Linked DNA regions of Drosophila melanogaster. The protein of the gene in region 1 interacts with the protein of each later gene in a pairwise test. Each region holds a gene or a part of one and is shown on either strand. Other genes may lie near its edges. The genes, in order: Prp18 and CG17266.

Evidence for each region.
Region 2: the proteins of Prp18 (region 1) and CG17266 interact in a two-hybrid assay, tested with the Drosophila melanogaster proteins (one large-scale study listed by BioGRID).

Annotation. Positions count from the first base shown.
Region 1 is NT_033777.3:19,029,325-19,033,332, reverse strand, and holds Prp18 (Prp18), read left to right. Parts: upstream 1-2,061; 5' UTR 2,062-2,139; coding exon 2,140-3,162; 3' UTR 3,163-3,260; coding exon of another isoform or gene 3,261-3,324; 3' UTR 3,325-3,365; downstream 3,366-4,008. Other genes in the region: CG6013 (uncharacterized protein), read right to left, coding at 1,058-1,244, 1,308-1,762; P5cr (pyrroline 5-carboyxlate reductase), read right to left, coding at 3,261-3,324, 3,386-4,008.
Region 2 is NT_033778.4:6,674,329-6,678,075, forward strand, and holds CG17266 (uncharacterized protein), read right to left. Parts: upstream 1,674-3,747; 5' UTR 1,363-1,673; coding exon 1,279-1,362; intron 1,213-1,278; coding exon 745-1,212; 3' UTR 700-744; downstream 1-699. Other genes in the region: PGAP3 (Post-GPI attachment to proteins 3), read left to right, coding at 1-399, 453-525; Tdc1 (tyrosine decarboxylase 1), read right to left, coding at 2,978-3,506, 3,629-3,747.

The DNA.
Region 1 (4,008 bases):
TATAATAAGAGCGAAACTGTTTCGGTTCTAGTGATAAGAAAGTTAGATAAAAACATTTCAGAGCCTAATGTCTTAATTGATCAAGAAAGTTTCTTCCCAGAACATAATTGCGTACTTCCACTTCAATAGTTTGGCCCATTCAATTCGTGTTTGCAAACGAAAGCTGACTAGCTGGCCAAGCACAGCTATTAAGACAGAAACTTTTTATTTGGAAAATCGGACAATTAAGCCCTAATATCTTATATAAAATCGCATTTAATGCGCAAAAAGAGGTGCCTAACGACTTAAAGCTCATACTTAACTGGCCGATGTTACGTGCATTTGTTCGACGGACCAGCAAAATATTTGGGTGGCTCTGGTCCAAAAAACGCCACCAAACTTCCAAGCAGCAAGTAGTGAAAGCGGAAGCACTTATTATTCTCCGTATTTTGCACCACTAAAAAAAAAGTGATGGACAAAACGCTGGAACGACAACAGCAATCAAAGCAATACATATAATTACTTCATTCAGAAACGCAACCGGAATCGGATTCAGGGCCACAAAGTTTTTCAGCCGGTGGCAAATAAAAATTCGGCATTCAATAAGCGGAGAAAAGCTGTCCGTTATCACTTTCGGATCTGAGTTATCCAATCCTATGTTTATTCGCCCGATTTTCTATAATTTTATTGACTCTTGCATAATTAAATATTTCTTTTGTAAGAGCGAAATTATTACAACCAAATTGTGTACAATATAGAAAAATATGTGTTGAATTTGTATCCAGTTCTTATAATAAGTACCTATATAGCAAGATTTTATTCTAATATGAATATGTTAATCTTATTATTGTTTTTTGTCTTTCGTATCCTTTTGCATGGGATGCTTTATGAAGGATAATAGCTAACCACTTTTGCAATTAACACAAATTCAACTCACTGGGCTTAAATAAATAAATAAATTTATTCCGTCCACTTTTTTTTTTATATACTACATTCTGCGTACAGTTCAAAGGTGCTACAGAACGTTTTGATTATTTCTTTGCTGCTAGGCAGCAAACAGTCTTGGTCCTTGGATCACTTAGCGCGCCTGGTTGAATGGGTTGTCTGGTGACTTGTTCCATTCCTTCATCAGAAGCTGCTTCCACTGGGACATGCGAAGGGAAGGATTCTCAGCCTTAATGCGGGGCAGATTGTTGGCTTCAAAGGTCTTGTAGGCGGCGCGCATTCGCTTCTCGGGATGCTTGTCCTCTTCGCTGTCATTTACACTAAAATTGCATGCAATGGAAGATAATTTAAATTGATAAGAAAGTTTCAGTAAGGGAACGCACCTGAGCACCACGATGGCCTCGTCAATGTTGGATGCCACATCCGTGTCGGCCATGGATCGGTTCAGATTCTCCTCGATATGGTTTTGGACCACCACTCGCGCGGCCATCGGCTTGTTGGCCTCGTTTATCGCCTCGATTACGCGCTGCTTCTTCTCCATCTCCTCGAGAATCATCTGGCGGTTGATCTTGGCCAGCGGCTGCTTTCGCTGCGTGTTAATGGATGACATTTCCTGGTCAAGCAGCGCTTTGGCCTCAGCCTTCCGTTTGGCCGCCTCCGCCCGCTTGCGCTCCTCCTCGTCCTTGCGCTGTTGTTTCTTGGCCAGATTCTTGTCGTCATCGCGCCACAGGCGATCCTCCGCCTCCTTGCTCTTCTTCTCCTGCGTGGCCTTCTTGGTGGCCTCCTTGCGCTCGCGGGCCTCCACCGCCTTCGAGTTGATTCCCATTTTCTTTGGCATTGTGTCCTTTATGAATGAATTCCGATCCTAAAATGTTGTCTATTTTTTATTGATTTTGAGCCAGTGTGACCAGGCTGCGGAAATACCAAAGAGTAACCAAAGAAAAAATACTAGAAAAATATATAGCTCAAATACAATTTAAATGTCTAATAAATGCATTTAAATTAAATAAATTAGGAAGTACATATTTATCTAATTATTGATTAAAGTTATAGAACTAATTATAAGTTATTTCATAACTAAAACTTAGTAAATTCAATAGAATACCTATTTTAGTGGCCGCACTTGTATGTAAACATTCTCAGTCTGGTCTCACTATAATCTAAGGCATTTGTTTTGGTTACTCCACATTGTTATTAACTACAAATAACAATCACATGGATATTCTGAAAGCTGAAATAGCGCGAAAGCGCAAGCTGCTGGAGCAAAGGCAGCTGGTGGACGAAAAGAAGAAGTACTTCAGACGCGGTGACCTGAACGCCAAGAACACAGAGGAAGTGCTGCAGAAGGTGGGCTACATAAAGCAGGAGTCCGTCGAGGCACAAGGACAAACGACCGAAGGCGCGTACAGTTTTGTGGCCGATGGCCAGAACATATTGCCGCGCACGGAGGTCATTCGGAGGCTAAGGGAACGCGGCGAACCCATCCTTATATTTGGCGAGACGGAGCCCGAGGCCTTTGACCGATTGCGACAATGCGAGATTTCGCAGCCAGAGGCAAATCGCGGTTTCCGCAACGATTTCCAGGAGGCCATGGAGCAGGTGGACGCCGCCTACCTGCAGGAGATGTTCGCCAACACACCCACCACCAAGGAAGACAAGAAGTCGGACTTCGCTGAGCTCGACGAGTCCGTGTCGTGGGAGAGCATACAGACAATGGCTGCAAATATGGGCCGCAACAAGGACTACGACATGGATGTGATCATCACGCTGCTCACCTTCCTGCTCAAGCTGTGGAACGACCAGATCGCCAACTACAGCAAGCACGAAAAGATGTCCACAAAGGTGAAAATGACCCGCGTCATTTACACGCAGACTAAGGAATACGTTAAGCCGCTGTTTCGCAAGTTAAAGCATCACACCCTGCCAGAGGACATTCTGGACAGTCTGCGAGACATCTGCAAGCACCTGCTCAACCGCAACTATATCACAGCAAGCGATGCCTACCTAGAAATGGCCATCGGAAACGCGCCTTGGCCCATTGGTGTCACTATGGTGGGTATCCACGCTCGTACGGGTCGCGAAAAGATTTTCTCCAAAAACGTAGCCCACGTAATGAACGATGAAACACAACGGAAGTACATCCAGGGTCTCAAACGACTGATGACCAAGTGCCAAGAGTACTTTCCCACCGATCCCTCCAAGTGCGTGGAGTACGTCAGCAAGAAGGATCGGGAATAAACTTGAGCTTTATGTTAGTCATTATTGTAATAACAATATCAAGCGTTTAACTATATGTATGTGTAGAGAGCAAGGGGATGTTCCGGGGGATTACATTTTCACTTCTTTCCCAGTTCAGCAGAGCGCTGTGACGACTTTTCCACGGCGTTTATTAAAGTAGACCTGAAAGCACGAAAGAAAGCAATAAAAAAACAGTGTAATGTACAACTTTATGGCTACCCACCTGAGGTTCCCCTTTTCCAGTTCATGAACGCCTACTATGGTGGCGCCACCGGGAGAACAGACTTCATCCCGCAGCACCGCCGGATGTTTTCCAGTGAGCAGCACCGTTTTGGCCGCTCCCAGAAGCGTCTGAGCCGCAAACTGAAGAGCCATCTGACGCGGAACGCCCTGTTTGACGCCGCCATCGGCCAGTGCCTCTATGATGGTGTAAACAAATGCCGGACCGCATCCAGCTACCCCGGTAACGGCGTCGATCATGGACTCGGGCACCTGTTGCGCCAGTCCCAGGGCGTTGAGCATTAGGTGAATCTTTTCCAAGTCGTGATGCGAAACGCGTGCGTTGCCAGTGTAAACAGTGCAGCCCTCGCCCACCTGCATGGATGTATTGGGCATGGTGCGTATCACCTTCAGCTCCGAACTGCCCATGAAGCTGAAGGCCTCCTCCAGCGTTTCGAGACTGGTACCCGCCAGAACCGACACCACCAGCTTGCTGGCATCCTTGGCCGACGGCACGTGCTTGTATTTAAGCTGGGCGGCACACGGCGTTAGCATGTGTGGCTTTACGCAGATGAAAACTATGTCCGAGTGCTCCAGGACCATGCAGTTGTCGTCGCAGGTCACAGC
Region 2 (3,747 bases), on another chromosome or scaffold:
GGACTACGCCTTTGCCTATTCCATCATCTTGTGCTCACTTTACGTCATGGTCATGCGGATGCTGCACCGCTACTCGCTGTTCCTACGGGGTGTTATCACGTTGGCATTCCTCTCCTACTACATTAACTACTTTGCCTACCTGAGCGTGGGACGGTTCAACTATGCGTTCAACATGATGGTAAACGTGGCTACGGGAGTTATAGCGGCAGTGGGATGGTTCGTTTGGTGTCACTTTGTGCGCACCCGCAGGCCCTACTTTAGAAGGATCCTGCGTTTCTATATTCTCATGGCGTTGGCTATGAGCCTTGAACTGCTTGACTTTCCGCCCATCCTCTGGATTCTGGATGCTCATGCTCTGTGGCACTTGGCAACAATTCCTCTGGCATCCCTATACTATGAGTGCGTAGAAATATTACTTTATTCTAATATTGCTACATGTGTTTGCATTTTAGCTTCATGATAGAGGACTGTCGAACCCTGCGAAAGGAGAAGGCTGCGGCGGGCGGCTATTCATTCTACAATTAGTATTATCTAAGTTATTCTTAGCCCTTAAAGCACGCAAAGCTATCTGGCAATTTTTCTGACATATTTCATGTAATTTGTAACAGAGCGAAAACATGTAATGTATTTTATTGAATGTCAAAGCGAAAACATCCTTTGACAGTAACCAGAACGGCAGGAAAACTAATAGCTTCGTTTAAAAAGACATAATAGAGACTTTATTACAACATTTAGAACTCCGTGCTACATTTGCCCGCACTGCGAAATGGTCACTGGGAGCTTCGGCTTGTTATTGGGGCCCGTGGGCACGTTCTCGATCTTGCGCATGATGAGCAGTCCATCCAGAACCCGACCGAACACCACGTGCTTTCCGTCTAAAAAGTTGCACTTGGCGCAGGTGATAAAGAATTGGCAGCCGTTCGTCTCCTTGCCACTGTTTGCCATGGAAAGGAGGCCGGGCGAGTCGTGCTTCAGGGTAAAGTTCTCGTCGCCGAAGGTGTTGCCGTATATGCTGGTCACGCCGGTGCCGTCGCCCTGCACAAAGTCGCCGCCCTGGATCATGAAGTCCTTGATCACCCGATGGAAACTGGCGCCTTTGTAGCCAATGGGAACGCCATCCGGTCGGTACTCGCCCGTGCAGAACTGCCGGAAGTTTTCCGCCGTGCGGGGCACTGTGTCCGCAAAGAGTTCGAATATCATTCGTCCGATTTCCTGCACACAAAAGGCGTTAGAAGGCGGAGTTATGTACAGATTATGACTAGATTGTTTTCAGCTCACCGTTGTGCCTACGGCAATGTCGAAGAAAACGACGGGATTGTTGGAGCTTCTCAGTTGGGACTGTATTTGATTCCAGTTAGGCATTTTAAAATTATTTTATTTGTTTATAAACTTTCTAACAAGTCAAGATTAAGATTTTACTAAGCCGGCAGATTTTTGTTTATGTTTATTACGATGGTTCGATGACGATGCACGACAAGTCGATAGCATCACAAGCCGGTTATATCGATAGCACACGTGTGCCAAGTGCTTGTTTATATTTTGCTGTGCACATATTGGTGAAACTATTTAATAATATTTATTAAGGTGAGTTTATTTATGATTGGATTGATTGATGAGTAGAGTGCATAAAATAGTGCATAAATATTATTATTGTTGGATATTGTTTCGGCATTATTTTTAGTTGTTTATTTTTATTGGCAAGTTTCTCAAGGCCTGCAAAATATGTATGCATACTAACATATTTCGTGGTCCGATGGGCAGGATTTTTTCCTGATAGGATATGCGTGTGTAAATTCTTCAACATACATACGTTCCCACGCTAAAAGCTTTTATCACAAAGAATGACAGAATGACCCAAAACACTTGTATCTGTATGTACATGCATTTGTACCAAAGTGGGAAATGGAGATATGCAAGAGACAAAGCAAGTGCAGTAGCAAGCAACAATTGTATGCCTTAGCATGCGTAAGGAGACCGATATATGTATATTTATATTTAGTTTACTTATAATTAGTTTATACTTTTAAGATGTAGTGGTAACGTTTTAAAGCAAACTTATTGAGACATATATCATATACAAAAATTAAAAAAAATACTATTTGCGTCCCCCAAAGATCTCCCAGTTGGATTTTGGATAGACTCTTTGCCAAGGATTCCCGTAATTAGCCATTTTAGGAGTTCTGTTGGAAACGAATGGCCCCAATTAGCCCTCTCTGTTGATGAATGAAGACCTTTTATCGACATAGTACAAAAACGTATGATAATTAATAAATATTCGTGAGCATTGTACTCAAGAAAAATGTAAATTTTCCGAAAAATATGCACGACAATGACCCCCATTTGACGTTAAGATCTGCTTAGTGAAAAATAGATTTCATGTTTTGGTAGTGACAACACATTCCCGGGGATCTTAATCCCATTGAGGTCTCCTTGATGAAAACCATATCCTTGGCATTGTGTTCGTTTGTGGGTGGAATATCATTTTCTAAACAGATGCACAGCTTTATTGGATATTGGATATAGTTTTCTGTACGTTCTGGTTTGTTTAAATGTATCCTCTTGGACGACTCTGTAAATTTTATAATAATATACATTTATAATGTACATATCAAGTTGCTTTAAACATTAAGATTGTCCTTCAAACTCCCATTACAAGACACGAGATACATTTTCCGTTGGATTGTGTTTGTATTTTTTAAAAACTTGCATAAAAAATGCCGAGATAATGTTTATAAATAAGTGCTTTTGTTCATGACAGTAACTTAAGGTAGCTAAACGGTATAAGCAGATGCAAATGAGTCTATCTTTAAATTACATGATATTCAGCAACAACTAAGGTCCTACTAGTACATAAATGGATGTTCTTAAATTCAAACTGAGCAATGTTAGTCGGTAGTCGATTGATTCATGCCTCATTTCAGCTCGACAACTAATACTAGGTAGAGGTAAATCCGCAAATCCCTTTTCGGGTCGACGCTCAGTTACTCGCCTCGTCCGTATCCACGTCTGATATATCTTTGAGTTTTACGTTGCCATTGCTGTTGTTCCTGTCATTGTCATCCGCCGCCTTTTGGAAGTTCTCCTGAAGAGTTTTGGGATCGACGACCAGGATGGGTGTGCACCCGTCCATTAGGTGCTCGCTCTGGCTCTGGTACTGCTCCCGCGAGATGCTGCGAGTGAAGGAGAATCGCAGCGACTTTGTCCTGGTCAGCCTCTTTTTGATGGGTGGCTTGCCCGCCACTGGAGCCAATGGCTCTGAGCTGGTCCGCTCTGAGCCTTCCGGCGTGGTTGGCACGGAGCTGGACTCCAGCTGGTGGTCCCGCAGTATTTCCTCAGCAAAGCACTTTATCTGGGTCCAAGCTTCCAGGATGTCCTTCTCAGTGGCGTGCTCGTAGGTGACGCAGAAGCGGATCACGTAGCGGCCGTTGAACTTGGCCGGCGTCATATGCATCTTGCCCGAGTGGTTGATCTGGGCGAGCAGCATGTGGTTGGGCTCGTCGCCAGTTCTGTAGAGAAGATTGAGTAGATCATTAAAGACCAGCATTCAGATTTAGCTGCTTTCTTCAGTTAGGTAAATACTAGCTAACGGTTAATGGTTTATAAATGGTTTAATGGTTAATAGACTTACCGCATTCGGAAGCAAACTAGGCCAAGGTGAACATCGTTGCGAACCTCAAATCGTTCATCCTTGCGCACCAGCATCTCAAACTTCTTAGCCAACGCCATATGATTTCGAATGTATTCCTG